4 linked regions of the Schizosaccharomyces pombe genome follow. The protein of the gene in region 2 interacts with the protein of the main gene of each other region in a pairwise test. Each region holds a gene or a part of one and is shown on either strand. Other genes may lie near its edges.

Region 1 (4,544 bases), on a different chromosome or scaffold from region 2:
TATTGTTAAGAGTGAATAAAATGCCATGTCCTCTTATGTGCCCAACACCCTGTCCGTATATCACAACTTGTTAATTTTAGAGGCATCGTTTCGGAAAACATACCTACAGCTTCAAGTTCGTCGTCAAAAGTATATGGCTTTCTATGTCTCACTATTGGTGTGGAACTTTTACTTTGGCTATCGCGTCTTTTATCGCATCTCAAAATACTCGTTGATTGATTTGACTTACAAACTTTGTCTTTTATGCGGAATTGTTACACTTTTGCTCTTTTATTTTTCTGGATTGTATCGGACTACAATAGTATATCCATCACGTTATGTTCAACAAGTCAACAAAGCGATGAGGTTTTTTAACATTCGCCTTGTTATAACTCCTGTCCCGTGGTTCCAGGTGAGAAAGCCTTTGGATTGTGGTGTCCATCTTATATTATCAAGCAAACGATTTGACATATTGGTGATCGAAGGTTGGGAAGCTTTTCGTTCTTCATATTTTGCTTCAATACATAGAAAAAACAATAGCATACAGAGTAACGAGTCCTCTGAATCTCCTTCTTCTAAACAGAACTAGATTTACTTATACCCTTATCCTATTTATAAAGGATGCGATCGTTTATTTCCTTTTCAACGTTGTTAATGCTTTTCATGTTTATACTGTTCTAGTATTTGTCATTTTTCATAACGTAAATTTTGATTAAAATTTTCAGCTATTTTTTTTTTTGCTATCCGTTGTTGCTGGCGCCTTTCGCTATATTATTGATCAGTTATTGTCGTTATACTTTTATTACATACTTACCCGATTTGAATTTATTAGGATACTTTTAAGGACATTTCCTTTTATGTTGGGATATGAGATTGCTTTACAGACCCACTGAAATAGGATTTATCGTTGGATAATTAAAAAAAGGATGTTGATGATTCATTACACATCTTGATCATTTACTTGCCTCATCTTAATTGGAAGGGTTTAAATAAAGGCTTAATTGAAAGTTGCTGTCACTTAACTTCCTTATCTTGTTCTGTCAACTTAAACTATTATCTTTCATTCCCGACTTATAATCTTTCTTTTCTTTCTACATCACCTTTTTTTTTAAAAAATGGGTAAAAAGCGTTTTCGCATGTACATAAGCAAAACTTCTTCTCTTCTTATGTAGAGACTTCCTTTTTTTTTAATTTTCAACTTACTCATGCGGACTATACCGGACGTTCATTAGCTCTCTTGACGAGTTAGGTTTTCAAATAATTTAATATAAATGTAATCACTCCACCGTTAAAATTAACTATTTATAAGTGGTGCTAAAATATAAAAAAGTGCATATAGCTAACACGTTTACTCACTGTTGTGCTGACAATTTAATCAATGAAATAATTGGAGACAAGTGAACTCTTTCGAAACTCTCATAATCGTCAGAGTTTGACTTAAAATACATTGTATATTAGTAGTCTAAATACGAGTAATATTATGCAAACCTTCCTATTCCTTATCTAATGTCGACTACTCAGTTAAATTTTATCCCAGCCAATTGCCCTAGCTAAGACATTTGTTATTATTTTGGTATTATGTTTATTCTTTTTGAACTTTCTGGCTAATTGTTAAAGATTTTACCTTATGTGATCTATATTTTCTTACTGGCTCAACCATGCGTAACGCTCCAACAACCAGCACTTTGCTCCATCACAATGCCGTTGTTCTTAGAAGAACATGCTGAGGTAATTTTATTTTTAAGATGCCGAATTAACGCTTTTAGTATTTGAAAAGATATTTAGAACAGGCGTTGGAGCCAATGTATGTAATTTTTTTTGAGTTGCCAATTTGCGTGATTTTTTTTTTTACACGCTAAAAAATTGTTTATCAATATGCTAACGAAATGACTAGTTCTGATGCTGATGCAAGTGTTTTATCAGATTATGCTATGGCATTGTTAAGGCACGATTCTTCTGAAGAAGAAGTTCGCCAGTTATGCTACTCACAACTAGAAGATTTTTTGCGACAGGAGACAATTCCTTTTGTTGATAAAATTTTTGATGTTTTACGTGAAAAATCTTACTTGGAGGGTGCTTCAAATATGCCGTCAACCGGTATGGTGACTGAAGAAGTTTCAAGGTATTCGCCAACTTCATCAATGATCCCTGCCACCAACAGCATGGAAACCAATTTTAATAATTCTTTACCTGCTGTAGGAAAAACAAACACTTTTCCCTCTCAGGTGCCTAATATGTTTGGACCTCCGTTGTACCATCCAGCAGCCACAGCACCTTCTGAATTCATGCCCAGTATTCCTGGGTTTGGAAACTTACCAAATCCTGCAATGCCTCCCATACCATTCTTACCATTTAATCCTGCGGCGCAGCCTCCTTTCCCTCCCCCATTTAAGATGCGAGGTAAAAGAGGATTTGGCATGCGCCATGAGCATAATAGTGAACTTCGTAGGCATTCTCCTGGTAATCGAAGATTTAATCCATACAAAGCGTATCCCCAACCCCATCTGGGACATCGCTTCTCTCGTAACGCTGGCAATGATCCAACAAGTACTGCTTTAGAAGTGCGAAACATTCCGGAAGAGCATTTTAATGAGGAGAACATTAGGTCCTTTTTTTCAAAGTTCGGTGTATTGGAGAAAGTCGAATTAAATCCGACACATCATTCTTGTGTGTTAGAATTCACTTCCCATGAGGCTGCCAACAATGCTTGGTCCTCGCCTGAGCCCATATTTAACAATCGCTTTATTAAAATATTTTGGTATAATCCGTCAAAGGGATTTCACAATCGACCAAAGAAGTTTGCATCCCATAAATCTCCCACTACTTCCGATTCGTCGAATGTAGAGAGTTCTGAAGATGTCGATCCTGCTTCTTTGTTACAAAACGAAGAGTTTCATAAACTGATTGAAGAAAGGCAAAGGCAGCACGAAGAACGTTTAAAACGCATAAATGCTAATAAAAAGGCACTAGAAGAACTTAACCAAAAAAAGCGCGAGCTTGCACAGCAACAATTAAAAGAACAAGAGTTACTGATGCAAAAAATTAAGGAAACTGACCGTTCAGGAAACAAAAGACTCATGTTGTTAGAAACTCAGCATTCTCTTTTGAAGGCTGAGGCTGATTGCTTAGGGTTACCTGTGAGCAACGTTTCTGAAAGCCCAGCGGCATCTAATGGTTCTCATCATCCTTACGCTTCAGGACTTCCCCAGCGAGGTACCAACACATTTTTCCGTGGCAGAGGTCGCGGACGAGGTGATATGTTTGCGTCAATGTCCATCGATAATCGTCCAACTAAGCTTCGTGTAATAAATGTTTCTCCTGAAAAAAATGAAGCTTTGTTGCAATACTTATTCACTGTTGGAGGATATGAGGAAATTACTGAACCTTCAACTACTGAACGTCTTATCAGTTTTCAGAATAGAAATTCCGCTGAAAAGGTATGTAGCTGATTCTTTCTCTGACAGAAAAAATTTCAAGTTAACAAATTTTAGTTTTTTGGTGGAGTTCGGAACGTTGAAAAACTTCAAGAATTGGAGTTGGCGTGGGTGCCAAAAACAGCTGTTACAACTAATACTACATCCATGGAGACTGGCGAATCTAATACAAGCGACAACATGAACATAGAGGTAGAAGAAGGAAGATGGCGCTAGTTTATTTACTTTTACAAAAGTTTTTCAGAGAATGAATTAATGGGCTGCATTGTATGCGGCTGTCATAAAATATAAGCAACTAATTGATTAATCTTATAGAGTGCAATAAGCATTTCAAAAATGGAGATTTCATATTGAAATATTTGTAACTAACATTTCGATCAATTCGGTTTTTTGATACAAAAGAGTTAATGCTTCCGAATTACAACTCAAATCGTTACACAATTCATTAAAAGTGGTAACAAAAATCGGCTAGGAGAGAAAACTCATGATAAGGAAAGAAACATAAATTCAGTGTTCATAGCAAGAAGTAAACAAAATGGGCATGTTACTTCAGTTTAGAAATAATGGCATCGGTATATTGAACATTGTTTGACTTGCCGCCCAAATCCTTGGTGCGAGCATCGGGATTGTTTGCAAGGGTATCAAAGATAGCTAATGGTAATTAGTAAACAGACAAAATCTTAATTTAGTAAAACACATACCTGATTCGATGCGTTTGGCATAATCATTTAAATTCATGTGCTTCAACATCATTACAGAAGATAACAGTAAAGCAGTAGGGTTGGCTAAACCTTTTCCAGCAATATCAGGGGCAGTACCATGAACAGCTTCAAAGATGGAAGCTTGGTTGCCAATGTTTCCGGAAGGAGTCAAACCAAGACCGCCAATTAAACCAGCGCACATATCAGAAACAATATCACCGTATAAATTGGGCATAACCATAACTGTGTTGTTATAAGGGACAGGATCGGTGACAATCTTCAAGCAGGCGTTATCCAAGATTTCCTCCCTAAGCTCGATATCAGGATATTCAGGTGCAAGCTCCTTGGCGCATTCCAAAAATAAACCGTCAGCCATGCGCATAATGGTAGCCTTGTGGACTACGGTGATGTTGTTCTTGCCAGTTTGGCG
Region 2 (7,642 bases):
AATGATGGTCCTTCTCTTTTTTGTTGTATAAAGTTATCGCAATTTGTTTAAGACCGAGTTTTTTAGTTCACTTTATTCTCTGTAATTATCATGGACTAACAATCCATTTAAATTTAACTATTCTAGTTTTGACATTTGTTCTCTTACTCATATGTAGATTTTGACTGAATTTGTACTTCTGCAAATAGTCGTGGTAACATTTTTAAGTAGTGAATTTACTTTTTAGCGTGCATTTCTTATCTTATCTCTAATAATAATGGAATAAGTAAGTCGAAAAAGTACTTACTTTGCAAAATCAAGAAATAGCAAAAACCAGTCTGTGTAAGAATCAGAAATACAAATAAGACAAAAATTTTATAATACAAAATTTACTCATGTCATTATTATAAATCATGTTAACTAAATATGAATAGTCCTAAGAGTGATTTATGAACCATATGAAAACATCTATTTTGCTTTCTTTTGGTTCGAACTGGATCCTCCTTTGTTCGCATCGTCACGTTGTCTTTTAAGGGAGCCGGATTTAGCAGTGCTTGACAGTTCTTTAGCGTTTTGGGCAGCATTCTTTGAAGTAGCAATTCGTTTGGAAGCTCCAGTTATTGAGAGTTTTCCACTGTCTGGTTTCATAGGAACAGGACGCGAAACAGCGGGTCGTTGAACACCTTTTTGTTTGCCTGTTCCTTGAAGTCTTGCACTCAGAGATTTACCGGAAGGTTCTCTCTTGGCTGACGAAGCTTCTGTAGCATTCTGACCAACATCAGCTTTGCTAGCTGTTGGTTTGGAAGTAACAGGCTTTGTTTCTGTTACAGAAGACGTAGATTCATCAGTCTTTTCAGGATTGGATAGCTGTTTATTCAAATTCTCAATAGTTTCTTCAAGTTGTGTAATTTTGTTCTGAAGATCCCTAGTTTTCTTCTCATACACAGATATTTTAGCTTTGCTCCGAAATTCTGTCTCAGCTACCACCTTCTTCAACTTAACATCAAAGTTGGCAGAATTTTCTTTAAGCTTTTCTTCAACCTGCTGCTTAATCATGTCATCAATATTGTCATGAGTATTTTCCGAAGAATTTTTTTGAGCTTGTTCCTCAAGTTCCTTTATTCTCTGTGACTTTTCGTTGAGTTGATTTTCTAACTCTTCCTTTGTCTTTTCTTTCTCTGCGACGAGTTCAGAGCGAGCAGCCAAAATTTCGGTTTCCTTTTCTTTTTCATAATATTGTTTCGTAGATTCAAGTTGTGAACGTAGCCTTGCAATCTCATCAGCATTCTCTAAACTTCCTTGGGTCGGTGAATGCTCTCGTAAAGCTGCCAATTCCGCACTCAAGTTTTGTACTTGTTGCACAAGTCCTTCTTTGTCAGACCGTAATTCATGAATTTCTTTTTCAAGATTTGAAATTTCAGTTTTACCGTCAGCATCGACAGCCTCAGATTGCAAGTGTTCTAGCTCGTTCTTAGAATCTGCTAGCTCTTTTTCAGTTCTTTCCTTCTCCGACTTGAGTTGTTCAAATTGTTCCTTCGTGATCTGTTCAGCATCACTGGAAGCCGATTCTTGTAATTGATGATTGGAATCCTTTAGAGACTCTATTTCTTTTTGCATTGCTTCATTTTCAGCATTCTTAGAGGTTAACTCCTTGTTTTTGTTGGTCAATTCCTGCTTTAGATGGGCAAATCTTGTTAAGCTGGATTTTTTCAAATTTTCACATTTTTCATTCCAAGCAGCTGCCAATCTAGTATTTTTGGTGTTTGCCTGCTCAACTTCCTTCTTCAAATTTTCCACCTCTTCGTTTAGAGAATTAACCTGTTGCTTAAATGTATCGGTTTCTTTTGCTGTCTCCTGAAGTTTCGTTTCCAACTCTTGTTTTTCTTTTTCTAATGCTTCACAATTTTTCTTTAACTCCTCTAACTGTGTGGGATCAACACGCTCATACTTGTTCAAAACGGACTGAAATCTTAATTTCCATCGAGAATTGTATTCCTTCATTAAGTTCAGACTTGCTGTCTTTGCGCCTATTTCTGCCTTAAGTTCATTTATTTCAGTTTGTAAGGGATTCAATGAAGCATTCAGTTTTTCAACCTCTTTCTCCAGCTCTTGTATTTTTCCAAGTTTAGCATCATTGTCCTTTCTAAGGACACTATTACTTTCATAAAGTAACTGAACTTCTTGACTTCCGCTGATAATGGGGGTATCTGTTTGGTCATTTGACACAGGCAGAGACTGCAGACGGTTGAGCTCGAGTTGCAATGAATCAACGGTGGATTGCAAAGACTTGACTTGTTGATTCAAACCTCTATTATCCAGAATTGTTAACTCATATTTATTATCCATTATTTCCTTTTCGTGCCTCAAGTAGCTAACAAGTTCACGTAAATCGTTATCTTGAACGGCTTCTAAATTGGCAGATATATTTAAATTTTCAGAAGAATTCTGTTGAAGAACAGTTATTTGTTGACTAAGAGAATCAAATTGCGAATGTAGTAGTTTATTTTGATTTTCAAGTCCCAAAATGTAATCTTTCAAGGAGCTAATTTCATCTTCCATGGCTTTCCGCTGAATATTCCAATCCTTTTCAGCACCTGAAAGTCCTGAGTGCTGCTGTTCAAAATTTGCTTTGAGCTTTAAATATTTCGTATTCACCTCGTCAAATTCAGTACGTAAATCCCGCAATTTTTGAGTGGTACGCCCATGACTAACGATCTCTGATTCGTAATTAGAATGACACTCCTTCATTAGAGATCTTTCTTTTTCAATATCTTCTTTCAAAGAGGTAATAACACGATCCGCATCTGAACGAATTTTTTCATAATCTTTTTTGAAAGAAAGTGCACTATCCTTTTCACGAACAGCATCCTCAAGTTGTTTGGCAAGTTCCTTGGACGAAGACTCTTTCTCTTCTTTTAGTACTTCAACTCTCTTATTAAGATCCAACAACTCAGAGCGAAGGGACGTAATTTTCTCTTCCCTTGTGCTAATTTCAGATTCTACTAGATGCTTAAACTGCTCATGGGTTTCATTCATCATTTCCAAGGTTTTTTCTGAAGCGAGGTATTTTTGTTGAATATTACTCTTTTCAAGCTCGGCCATGCGAAGTTTTTCCTTCGTCCTTTCCAGTTCAATAGATATAGCCTCGACTTCAACATTATCAGGATTTTGTGTCGTGTCTTTATTAGCCGCGATTAATTTAGATTGCAAGTTCTCCTGCCGTTCTTCCATAAACTTTAAGCGCTCTTTCAACTCAGTGGTTTGTATTTCTAACTGATTTCGCACGGTGCGTTGCAATGTTATGTCTTGTTTTAACTCAGTGATGTTAGACTGAAGTTGAAGCACCAATGTTTGATGCTCCCTCAAATCAAATGAATTTTGTAGAGTAAGTCTACGAACATCATCGGAACACTCAGATAGCTTTGAATTAGCAACTCGAAGATCATTAGAAAGTTCAAGTATTCGACTATTCATTGAGTCCACTGTTGCCGTATACTCTTGATTTGAAGATTCAATTTGAGCTTTCATATGGAAATTATCCTGCTGCAGGGACGAAAGTTTCGACTCCAAATTAGATAAATCGGCTTTCAACTTATCCTTGACGGAAGTTAAAAGCAGGTTTTCGCTTTTTAAATTATCAACAATATGATTGGATTGTTCAAGCTGGCTATTACAGATTGATAATTGAGAAGAAACATTTTGAACTTCAATTTTCTTAGAAGCAAGTTGCTCTTGTAAAGACTTATAGCTTTCATCAAGTTCATCTTTACTTCTTTCAGATAAAACAAGTGATTTTTCCAGATCATTTAGCTTTTCAAGGGCTAAGCTTCGTTCAGATGTTAAAGAGGTAAGTTGCAATTGAATATTAGATTTTTCGAGCTGGAGAGATGAGATAGCTTCCTCAAACTTTTTTTCTTTGTTACGAGAAATTGACTTAAGGGACTCCAGTTCATTAGTTAGCTGTTCAAGTCGAATAAGCGAACGCTGGTAAGAAGTCTGCTCAATTAAATTAGTATTCAATTTGGAATTAGGAGTTGCAGGCGCCATATCTAAAAGTTTTTCATTCTCTTGAACTAGTGATCTAAAAAAGTCTCGTTCCTTTAAAGAGTAGCGTAACTGATCGCTCACCTCCTCCAACATTTTAGTAAGTTGATCAATAGTTTCGTTAGCTTTTATCAGTGTTTCTTCTTGAATCTCGGCTCCATCAAGATCAGGTTTTTCGTCTTTCTCCATACGATCAGCTAATTCATGAACTGCAGACAGTAGATTTTGATTTTGTTGTTGCAATTCTCTAATATTACGAAATACAACTAGCCTGCTTGAAATTATTTGATCCGTATCAGTTTCATCTTCAGTGAGCGATTTTTCAACATAGGAGTTAATCTTCTTTCTACTATCCACGCCTAGCACTATGCCGTTCTCACACAAATCGAGTTCATGAAGTAAAACTTGCACCTGTCGCGCTAAATCTTTGGTCTCTTGCTCATAATGCTTATTCTCTGTGCATTTATCTTTAAATAGTGTCTCTAATTGCTCGTAACGGGACTTGGCTTTCTGACAGTCTTCCAATGACTTCTGATATTGCTCACTCATTGCAACAATTTCCCGTTGCATATGAGCAAATCGCTTAAACTGTTCTTTAACCAAAGGATGCTGAAGATTCGCTTCTTCCATAACATGGTTATAGCTACGTTGTAACCTTTCAACCTCTTGACATGTTTGCTCATACTTCTGTTTATAGTATAAACGCTCGGAATACAAGTCAGAGACGGAGGACTGACCTTTAAAGCCTTTCATACTATTATTTAGTAAATTTGAGTATTTCAATTCACTCATATCTGAGATTTCTATTTCATCATAATGCCGAAGACGCTCATTAGCCAACTTTAGCTGAGACTCTAAACTTGATACCTCTTTCTCTAGAAAATTGATTTGAGATTTCAAGGAAGCTTCTGCTTCCTTATGAGATTCAAGCTGTTCTTCAAAAGATGATTGTGCAGCTTCCAATAGCTTTTCCAACTCGCCGTTTGAGTTCTGCAACTCTTTGAGCCGTAAAGAGCAATCCTCACATTTCTCCATCCACAACTCACTAATTTGCTTTTGTGAAGAAATCTCTTTTTCAAAAGAAACTTGCGAAAACTCATATTGCTTTCGCATTTCGGAGAGTTCAGCTACAATATTCTGATATCGTAAATTACTTTCTGTAAACTGTTGAGACAAAGAACTCACTTTCCGTTGTAGCGCATCTTTTTCCAAAACAGCGTCAGATAATTGAGAACTTAGTTGAGACTTTTCCAAAGAGGCCTCCTGATGAAGAGATAACAATTTGTCGTTCACACCCTGAAGCTCTCGGCTTAACCAGGTGTTATTATTTTCCAAAATCGAATTTTTCTGCGTTAATTTTTGCAACTCAAACTCATAGTTAGTCTGCAAAGATGCTTTTTCTTGTTGTGTATGTTGAAGCTCCAAAACTTGATGGGTAGAACTGGCAAGGGCATCCTTTAGATCTTTAATGATAGTGATTTTCTTTTCAACTTCCTTTTCTTTATCTGATAAAAGATTTTGAAGTTGAGCAGTTTGCTTCAAATTTTGATCCTGAGCTTGTTTTAATGCCTCATTTACACTTTTGAGAGAACTGCAATCGTGCAAAACAGTGTCATATGAAGAGGATTTCTCCCTAAGATATTCTTTGATTTGAGAGAGTTCATTCTCTAAAAGCTTGCGCTCATCCTCTAATAAATCGTAACGTTCGTTTGATTGAAGTAGTTTCTTCTCCGAATTTCGCAATTGTTGCTCGTAATTGACTTCTGTAACTATACGATCATTTTTTATACTTTCATAATCTTTGCTTTTACTAATTAAAGGTATTAATATGGATGTAAACGCGTCCACCTGAAGTAAAGGATCAATTTTTGTCTTTGGTATGTCTAGAAAACTGCATACCCCGAGTATATCAGCTTCTGTCCAGGAAGAATCGTGCATTGCCTCAAACAAATAGCTTCTAACTATTTTTTCAGTTTAGAGACGCTACCTTTGTTTGAAACACGTTCTTACCTATTATGGTGGTGCAATGTAAGTCGATGGGTGTGTAGCGACGAGGTAGTTGATACCCTAATAAATTCAATTTCAAGTCATAAAACCATTACAATTAAAAATCTATTTAAATTCTTTATTGAGATAACTAATATAAGTCCGTATAATATAATCCATTTGTTTGTGTCACTAGACATAAGCAATATACATTGCCTTACGTCTTCTTACCTAAGCTATAAATCAGCGTTCACTAGGTAAACTACATACTTGTATGGATATACCATATTCTTTTAAAAGATGAATATATAAAAAATGGAAAAGAATTTAAAGCTAATTTTCCTGAGGCATAACAGTTCAAAGATGTAACTTTTTAGGGGAGATCAAAATTAAAAAAATTTGTCATCATCGTGTATGTGACAATATTATAAAACAAGCTTGCTCCCTCAACGTCCCGGTACTCGAGAGTTAACGGATTTTAGAGCATCAGTCGCTGGTTTCTTGGCAGAAGAGTCCATAGCAGGAGTATTCAGCGCACTTCGATTGAGTCCGATATGGGATTTAACTAAATGGCCACTAGCAAGTGCGGAACACAAAGACAGTTCACCAGCCATTACGGCGGCTGCAACGACACGTGCTAGTTGACGAGAATTATCACCGGGAGAGGTCATATGGGCACCTCGCACACCGAGCAAGTCAAGCATAGCACCTTGCGGTTCCAAAACCGTTCCACCACCAATTGTTCCAACTTCAATGGATGGCATTGACACGCTAAGCTGAAGGTTACCATCAACATTATCCATCAAAGTTATACAATTACTGCTTTCAACATTTTGGGCAGGGTCTTGACCAGTTGCTAAATATACTGCCGTGACAATGTTAGCAGCATGAGCATTAAATCCTCCAACGCTGCCAGCCATAGCACTACCAATGAGGTTTTTGTCAACATTTAATTTAACCAAATCTTCAACAGTAGTTTTCAATACCGATTTGACAGCATCACCAGGAATAATAGCTTCAGCAATAACACTTTTACCACGACCATCAATCCAATTAATAGCAGCAGGCTTCTTATCTGTACAATAATTCCCTGATACACTGATCACTTGCATGTCATCAAAACCAGCGTCATTGCTCATTACTACAAGTGCATGCTCAACACCTTTGGAAATCATATTCATACCCATAGCATCACCGGTAGACGTACAGAAACGGATGAAAAGACGAGTACCAGCTAGAGCAGTCTTAATATGTTGAAGTCTAGCAAAACGGCTAGTAGAGTTAAAAGCCTTCTTCATAACCTCTTGGCCTTCAGGGCTATCCAACCAAATTTTAGCACGACCAGCGCGCGTCAAATTCGGGAAAGCCACACATGGTCCACGGGACATTTGATCACGAGTCAATACAGTAACAGCACCACCACCAGCGTTAATAGCTTTGCATCCACGCATAGTAGAAGCAACCAATGCACCCTCAGTAGTAGCCATAGGGATATAAAAAGGCTTACCGTCAATAATGAGAGGACCAGCTACACCAAGGGGCAAGGGCATGTAACCTATAACGTTTTCACAACATGCATTCAAAACCCTAGAGTAATCGTAATGATAGACGGGGCAATTAGAGCTTTCAAGTG
Region 3 (4,591 bases), on a different chromosome or scaffold from region 2:
TTGTTCAAGAGTTTGGGCCTCAAAACTGTTAGTAATTGAAGCACATTACTATAAACGGCACGGAAAAATTAGACATACCTCTTCAAGCCAGCGTTGTCCTCTGAAGGAACAGCTTTGAATCGTTTCATCTTCATTAATATAAACGAATGCTAATTCAAATAGTCTGTCGAAATAATCATCGGACATCCGAGGAAGAACCGAGTATTTGTGTTGGCGACTTAACCTGAATTGAACCAAATACTACAAGACTATAGCCTTTTTTGGTTATTATGGTTTCAATTGAAGCTATGAAGGATTCAAATTGGGACTTGCAGATACAAGTATTCCGGCGAAGGCTTAATCCGGAAGTTATGTAAGTACTAAGCAGGTTAGCTGTGGGTTAGTTAATGTAAACATCTTTATTAACTAGTACCAGAGAGGCAAGAAATGAGATTTTCTTATCCTTGCCCAGTGATCATGGATTGATTACTTTAGTTATAAATAAAGATAAACCGTTTCAAATATCGGTATTACTTGAAAAAAATCAAGAGTTCATGCAAACGGCAATGAATAAGTACGTTGAAACGGCATTTCAAAATCAGAAAACAACTTTGACAAGTTTATTTAATTATTTGTTACAAAATTGGAAATCATTTGAGACATGCAATACAAAAGAGCGTGAGTTGATGGTTCAACAAGTCGATTCTAAGAAACCAGAAACCCCAACTGACTTAGAGCCGTTGGCAAATAAGCTTGAAGGACCTCTATCAGAGAGGGTTCATTTGAACACTACACTTGACTATGAAGTACTGCGTGGTCAAAATCACTGTCAAAAGCAGAATACTACCCAAACAAAAACTACCATCTCTGGCTCTGAACAGTTATTCAATGATGAAAAGCCAAAAAAAATTATTTATTCAAAAGGAGGAAACGATGGGAAAGAAGATGATCTACAAAATGTTAATGAACCACAGGATGCTTACAGTAACGATCATGACATTCAGAGCAAAGACACAGAGCTTCTGGGTAACGAATACTGCTTAGAATGGAAGAATCCGCATTTAACTAATGTCGGTACTCTCAAAGCACCAATTTTACGTTTGGTCATAAAGTGTGTTCGGTGCCATTATGGAAGTGAAATTTCTATTGCTACAAAATTTTCTCTTGTTTGCAATAAGTGTAGTAATACTCTAAGATTAGTTTGGGTGCCTGGTGTGATTCACCCAAATAATGCCCGTTTAGGTATCCTCCATACTTTAGGATGTGTACCGGTTGACGTGATGCCCATTGACTGTCAGGTCTCTTGTATGGAATGTGTTGATGAGCAGATAACATCCTTTAAAGGTATTTCTTCCATGCAGCCCATGCTACAGTTTTGTAAAGTATGCAAAAACAGAATCTTGGTTGAACATCAAGATACCGAATTTCATTTGTTAAAACAACGACAAAGTTCAATGGGCGGGAAGGTGAGCGCAAAAAAGAAGCAAAAACAAAACTTAAACATTACGAAAGGATTGCCACTTCCCAATAATGGTGCTTGCGAACATTACAAAAAATCATTCAGATGTAAGTCGTTTATAAAATTCATAATTAACAATCAGGGTTTCGTTTTTCATGTTGTGATCGTGTTTATCCATGTGATGAATGTCATGACGCTGATCAAAATCATACATTTGAGCATGCTAATCGAATAATATGTGGGTACTGTGCCATGGAATCTTTCTACAAAAAGGATGCAACTTGCCCCCATTGTGGAAATATGACTGTGAAAAAACAAACCAGTGCCTACTGGGAGGGAGGAAAAGGAATGCGCGATCGCGTTCGCATGAGTAGGAAGGATCCAAGGAAGTACAAAAGGAAGCATCACGGTAATTAATTGGGTTGCATGACATCCATATTTTTTTGCTTCATTAGATACCCATATTGTATAAAAATTTAATGAATAACAAGTAGTTAATCTTTTGATAGAAGATACTTTTAAAGTCTTCGTATTTAACCAAAATAATTATCCTTCATCATCACTCACTTCATAATTGACGAGAGAAACCGAATTATCTTCAAGGATTTTCTCTCCCTTTAAATTTTCTGTAGGAAATTTCCTTTGCTCGCTCCTTAGCTTCTCGGAAGGGACAAATTTTCGAGCAAAAGGATCTTTTTTTGCGAATGAAGTCTCAGCAAACTTTGCAAAAGTCGAAAATGTTCTAGAAGAGGGCATTAATGTTCTTCTATAATCTAATTTCCTTATAAATTTATTCTTTCCTAATTCGTTATCTAGCAACAATAATGCCTTATCCTTGTCAGAAGAAGAGGGTGGTAATATATCAATGTCCAACGCTGCACGGTTTTTGAGAGATAGATCTTTAGCTTCTTGCTTTTTTTCAATTTTTTTCCTTTCCTAAGTTATGGGTTAGTTAATATGAAAATTTTAACGCAAAACAAATTCTTCTTACCCGAAACTGTTTTCGCAGCCTCTGAGAAGAAACGAAAGGATCCGACCAAAGCCTTTCATTTTTCTCATATATAAAGTTTATTACAGAACTATTATGCTTTTCTGACTTTTGCTGAGTTAATTGGGTTTCCAGCGCTTCAATTGCATCAGACGGCACCTTTTCGTCGTTTTCAGCTTTTGCAGGACGTTCATTGATGTCTTGAGGTTCAATTTTCCTTCTGCCTCCAGAAGCAACGATGTATTCTGTATTCTATTTATGTCAGTAACAAATTTGTTAAATTAATCAAACCAGTACCTTAGGATCCGTATGTACATCGATAGGGTTTGAGCATAAATGACATTTTAAGCTGAATGACCATATTTTCGTAGTATAGTATGAGCCAATCTCTTTTTTAACAGCATTGAATCTAGTGCCTTGTTGAATGATATTTTCACAATTGTTGCACCACACTGGAAATGGCATTTCAAACCGAATTACATTTCGTAATTTATCAAATTTTCTTTTAGCATTCGGCCCTTCCGGGGGAATATATTTCCCCATATTAAATCCTTGCATTTTTAGTGAGTATATAGCTCTTTATGCCCAAAATCAGTAGTTCCTAAGTTAATACTACGTCTAGGTGAAGTTCAGGCTAAATCAGTGGCATGCAACAGAAACATAATTATAACTCTTAGTTAATTCATGGCTTTTCAACAAACAATTTTAAATTACGTTTGCTAAATTGACGTTAAAATAATAAGGGTTCCATTCTACAGTTTCAAACGGACAAGGTAAACATGTACAAATAAATAAATTACATGACGATTATTTGAATTCATTTCTTATAAATTAATAGAAAATTATAAATGACATAAAAAGGTATCGATGAATTATTAAACACTTGATGATATTTTTAGGTTGCTTCAACGGGGACGTTCAATTTCTTGGCCAAGTCTAAGAAGCTTTTCGTGTAGCTATAAAATTTCGGCCTTTTGCATAATGATAAGACAATCAAAAATGTCTGCTGAGTAGGGAAAGGACCGTTATGCGACATCCTTTTAATGGTATTTAAGCATTCAGCTGCTTGGCCCTGCTGAACAAGGTTACGTAGCTTCTCATGATATACTTGAAGATTTAAATCAAATTTGTGACTTTCCTCAAAATACTTCCAATACCTTGCTAACAAATCACCGTTTTGTATTTGACGAATGACCTGTAATGCTGTAACCAAACTTCTTGAAGTACAATCGCAATATGGGGGTAAAGGATAACGCAAGTTGGAATCTTCGAAAATCTGATATTCCAATCCCATCACTTTTGTAAGAATATTTAACCCCACGTTTCTCACTTGAGGCGAGTTGCTAGTAGCCAGAAGTTTCACAAAGGAACAAATAAGACTTTCATCAACTGCTATTCCTTTCTTTTGGCATTCAAGGACAAAATAATTCCAAAGATTCGTCCCCATCTTTAACACTTCTTCACGTTGTTCCGGATTGAACATAGAAAAGTCGTTCAAAAGTCGAAGAATTTGAGATCCACTATAGAAATCCAATGTTTGTTTGATGGATGGAATAATCATTGACACCAATACCATACTTTTAAGCTTTAGACTACACTTGGATATAATTCGTATGTGATGCAAATTGGATGTGACATTATTAGACTCCTTGAGAGCACTAGCTGTTACCTTTTCACTATATTCACGTAGTTTAGAAAAATTTCCTTGCTTATTCTTTTCAATAGCATCGCAAAATCCCTTTAGAAGAATGGAGTATGTATGATCGCTAGGTTTTTGTTGGCGCTTTTTCATATCATTGTACAAAGACCAAGCAGCGTTGTAATGCCCTTTAGCTAAATGATATTGTAGTACAAGGTTATAGGCAACCGTCTTCTTGGCATTTGATCTCTCGTACAGTAAATGCAATGCTTTCTCTAAAGACTCTTTTTGAAGTAACGAAGATACATTTTTAGCCAGTTTGAAACCATCGTTTCTTATTAAGGATGACTTAGTTTTTTTATTTCGAAACTCATTTAGATTGTTGACTTGCTCCTTGAATTTCAAAGCATCAGCGATTAAAAGGCGCTTTCGTACTAATTTCCGCGCATTACTTACTGAAACACTATACGTGGTTGCAAATTCCCGCAAGCAGAAGCGGTTTAGGAGCAAATCGACAAAGGCCCTT
Region 4 (3,398 bases), on a different chromosome or scaffold from region 2:
TCTTAAAGATCAATGTGATTTTGTTACGAAACAACTAGCAATTGCCTTGGCTCCTTCCATGTTTGGAAGTAATGCTGTAGAACTTGTTTATTACCTTGCATACCACAGTGATCGCATTTTTGGAACAGTAGAGGAATTGCCGACTCCGGTTTCCCCTGCGAATTCCAATAATGATAAACAGTTAGATGAATCGAAATTCCAAGCAATTGCCATGAAAGAAATGCCGGAAAGACACCCTAAGGAAATTTTACCTGGTCAAATAGAACGAGAGGCATACGAGGATTTACGACGCAAATATCATCTGACTCTTGCAAGGTTGGCTCAAATGACTCGATTAAATGAAGATTCTAAAAAGTCTATCCCTCTGTTGTATGATCGCTTCAACCATGATCTTAAGCTTATAAAGCAATCAGTTCAAGCCAGTTTAATTAGAAAACAATGTGAACTAGATACCGCAAAGTGGACTCTTGAAGAGTATGAATCCAAGCTAAACGCTAAGGAAGGTTGTCAAACCAACATATTTATATAGCCAACTAGTCTATACTACATCGATTATTAGATTATTTGTTTTACTATTCCTTTTTTAGATATCAATAGTTATTTTTTTTATCCTTCAATATGTAAGTGAAAGTTAATAATACTCATCAAAAAGTTTTCTCTTATTTTTATAAATAGTATAGAATTGGAATATGCTACACCGTTTAAAATCTTCAGTTATGAAAACTAAGCATATAGTTTAGAACATATGAGAGTCATTGACATTCCATTGGAAATACTATAATTTTAAATATGCCGGAATGGTGTACTCAAGTAGAAATTGACGTTATGAAGGGAATGAGAAAGAAAGGTCTAAGTATAAAAGAAACTTGAAAAAAGCCTTTTTTAAAACGGCATAAGAATTCATAAGATAATGATTTAGCGTAGATAAAAAGAAAGCAAGCCTATATTGAGACGGAATAAGGCTCATGATGGAACTTAGTTTGCTTCAAATTGTTTACAAAAACCATGAGCTAATTACAAGGAGATTAAAGGGTAACGACGAAAGCTATAAAAAACAGCTATACACTTAAAGTGTTTTCCCAATGAATTGAGTAAGGCAATATTAAGATTGCCGCTGGGTCTCTTGGTACTTATTGAGCACTTCATTTATTTCATCTGACTTCCATATTTTGCAAACCATTTTGTTTTTCGTGGTATCCTTTGTTATTGTTGCAAATTCAATTTTTTCATGAGTTAGGGAGTTACTGTCCAACGTTTTACTCAAAAATTTCACGGCCATAGCAGAAGCCTCATCTAAGTTTATATCATCCTTATACTCCTGTCGCATTAAGCTTTGAACACTAGTACTATTTCCTCCGATACTATTTGCTTGCCAGCTTCCGTAATTTCCAGATGGATTAGATTGGAATAGCTGATATCCACGAATATGATCCCATCCAGCATATAAGAATGAAACACCGAATGGACGTAGCCCACCATACTGTGTATAACCTTGTTTGAGGTCACAAACGCGACGAACTAATTGCTCACAAGGCATCTCTTCATTAAAAGTCTGCAAGTATTGTTGCCCAACCCTTCTAGCGTAGTTAATTAGGATGTTTGCATCTGCGGTAAGCCCTGCCACAGCACATAACATATTGTCTCCTATATGATATAACTTTTCTGCGGATTCTTCTTGTTCTAATAGTTTGCTGGTAACCTTCTTTTCAGCAGCTAAAACAATTCCATCTTTAGCTACAATCCCTAAAGCAACGCCAGCATGGTTGATCGCTTCCAATGCATATTCAACCTGGTATAAACGACCTTCAGGTGAAAAAATAGTCGTGCGAGAATCGTAGCTTCTTGACATAATGAATTTGGTTGATGACAAGTTCGAAAATGCGCGAAGCACTAGATCACGAACATTAATGAGGTCTACCGAAGTGCGATTACCACACTTGCTTTATTCTTTATGTGCTTACTACACTACTATAACAGGACTGACTTTTACCTGTCTTCTAATACAATTAATCTATTATGATTTAAATTAGTATGTTGTTAATCCGCTTATTTTTACAAGCTATGCTGTACAACAAATGTCTTTATAAATGAGAGCTATTTTTACGATAATCAATTTACCTTTAGTACTTTCATATCCTCAAGATATAAAGTTATCAGTGTAGGTTGCTAATAATTAAAATCTGCTTGTAAAAATATTTGAACCAGAGGAGTCAATACTAGTGTAAAAATGTAGCTGCTTACAAATACTTCCAGCCTGCCGTTTAACGATTTACCACGAGTTATGAATTGCTCGTAAATTTATGCGGGTTGTTGTAAATTGACAATATTAAAATTGAAGTTCTCGAAAATGTTTTATTATATTGTACTTGGTAGACCATTTCATTAACTTCTTATTTGTTCTAAAGGAAATACTTGGGAAGACGCTACGTGCGGTGCTGTTATGAGGTTTTTGTAGTATATTCAATAATGTTAACTACACCTATGAATTTATGCAATTTATACAGATTTTTTTTAATAGTTTGTAGAAATTTTTTTGTAATTGACATAACTATTCAGCTGGATTTTGCAAAACTGTTCTATCTATTCTCACACACACGCCCACTGAATACTACCTAACATAGTGTCGAACTTAACTTCTTGATTGTACATATCTTAATGTCACAGCCTTTGCCTCCTGGATGGACTGAACATAAAGGTAAATTTAATGAGCAGTTTATTTGCTAACTCATAGCACCCAGTGGGATTCCTTATTACTGGAATGCCGAGTTAAAAAAAAGCACTTACCAGCGCCCAAGTTTCATTGAGAAAAACCATTCATCTTCTGTTACTGCTTCGCAAGCTTCTTTGGCGTTTAACACAAGCGAAAAGCTGTTTGTTAATGAAAATGCTGAAGAGCGCAAAAATTCTCGAGATTTGAGGAAACAATTACCGGACAGACCAAAATTCAAGTATGTGAGGCGTAAAATTTTGTTATTAACTTTTTTTTTAGAAAAAGAATTCCTAATAATGATTCATGGGTGGTTGTTTTTACTAAGAAAAATCGGTATTTCTTTCACAATTTAAAAAGCCATGAATCATATTGGGAACCTCCTTTGGAAATTAGTAAAGACTTGAAGATATTACGTCTTCCGATACGGAAGCAAATCAGTAAAGATTCCTCACAGAGTCAGAACGTTGATAGTGGTAAAACCAACCACGAAGAAATACATGAATCTAGGCATTTACAAACAGAGATTGAAGAGCCCTCTGGTTTAGAAGAATCATCGGAGGAATCCGTTTTATATTCTGAAGAATTTTATGAAAAATCTGATGAAGAAGAGGATGAGGAAAAATCACACTCCGCTGAAGAGTTGGAGTTTGGTGAGGAAGATATTATGTATCAACTTCAACAATTGGAT

What was found.
Region 1: the proteins of nup211 (region 2) and rmn1 interact in a two-hybrid assay, tested with the Schizosaccharomyces pombe proteins (one large-scale study listed by BioGRID).
Region 3: the proteins of nup211 (region 2) and saf4 interact in a two-hybrid assay, tested with the Schizosaccharomyces pombe proteins (one large-scale study listed by BioGRID).
Region 4: the proteins of nup211 (region 2) and pre9 interact in a two-hybrid assay, tested with the Schizosaccharomyces pombe proteins (one large-scale study listed by BioGRID).

What each region holds. Positions count from the first base shown.
Region 1 is NC_003423.3:488,205-492,748, forward strand, and holds rmn1 (MTREC (exosome adaptor) complex RNA-binding subunit Rmn1), read left to right. Parts: upstream 1-1,651; 5' UTR 1,652-1,677; coding exon 1,678-1,707; exon of another isoform or gene 1,708-1,745; coding exon 1,746-1,783; exon of another isoform or gene 1,784-1,873; coding exon 1,874-3,416; intron 3,417-3,470; coding exon 3,471-3,629; 3' UTR 3,630-3,957; downstream 3,958-4,544. Other genes in the region: protein phosphatase regulator Nem2, read left to right, coding at 26-568; idh2 (isocitrate dehydrogenase (NAD+) subunit 2), read right to left, coding at 3,958-4,064, 4,115-4,544.
Region 2 is NC_003421.2:1,563,961-1,571,602, reverse strand, and holds nup211 (nucleoporin nup211), read right to left. Parts: upstream 6,054-7,642; 5' UTR 5,962-6,053; coding exon 448-5,961; 3' UTR 353-447; downstream 1-352. Other genes in the region: 3-hydroxy-3-methylglutaryl-CoA reductase Hmg1, read right to left, coding at 6,456-7,642. UniProt on the Schizosaccharomyces pombe protein: Functions as a component of the nuclear pore complex (NPC).
Region 3 is NC_003423.3:1,786,063-1,790,653, forward strand, and holds saf4 (splicing-associated factor Saf4), read right to left. Parts: upstream 2,985-4,591; coding exon 2,724-2,984; exon of another isoform or gene 2,679-2,723; coding exon 2,430-2,678; exon of another isoform or gene 2,375-2,429; coding exon 1,985-2,374; 3' UTR 1,856-1,984; coding exon of another isoform or gene 1,581-1,855; 3' UTR 1,546-1,580; downstream 1-1,545. Other genes in the region: ubiquitin hydrolase Ubp4, read right to left, coding at 1-18, 79-186; SPOM_SPBC18H10.09 (zf-CHY type zinc finger protein), read left to right, coding at 270-352, 416-1,545, 1,581-1,855; PPR repeat-containing protein Ppr2, read right to left, coding at 3,322-4,591.
Region 4 is NC_003424.3:423,375-426,772, forward strand, and holds pre9 (proteasome core particle subunit alpha 3), read right to left. Parts: upstream 1,866-3,398; 5' UTR 1,850-1,865; coding exon 1,103-1,849; 3' UTR 552-1,102; downstream 1-551. Other genes in the region: RhoGEF Gef2, read left to right, coding at 1-529; splicing-associated factor Dre4, read left to right, coding at 2,656-2,695, 2,732-2,948, 2,990-3,398.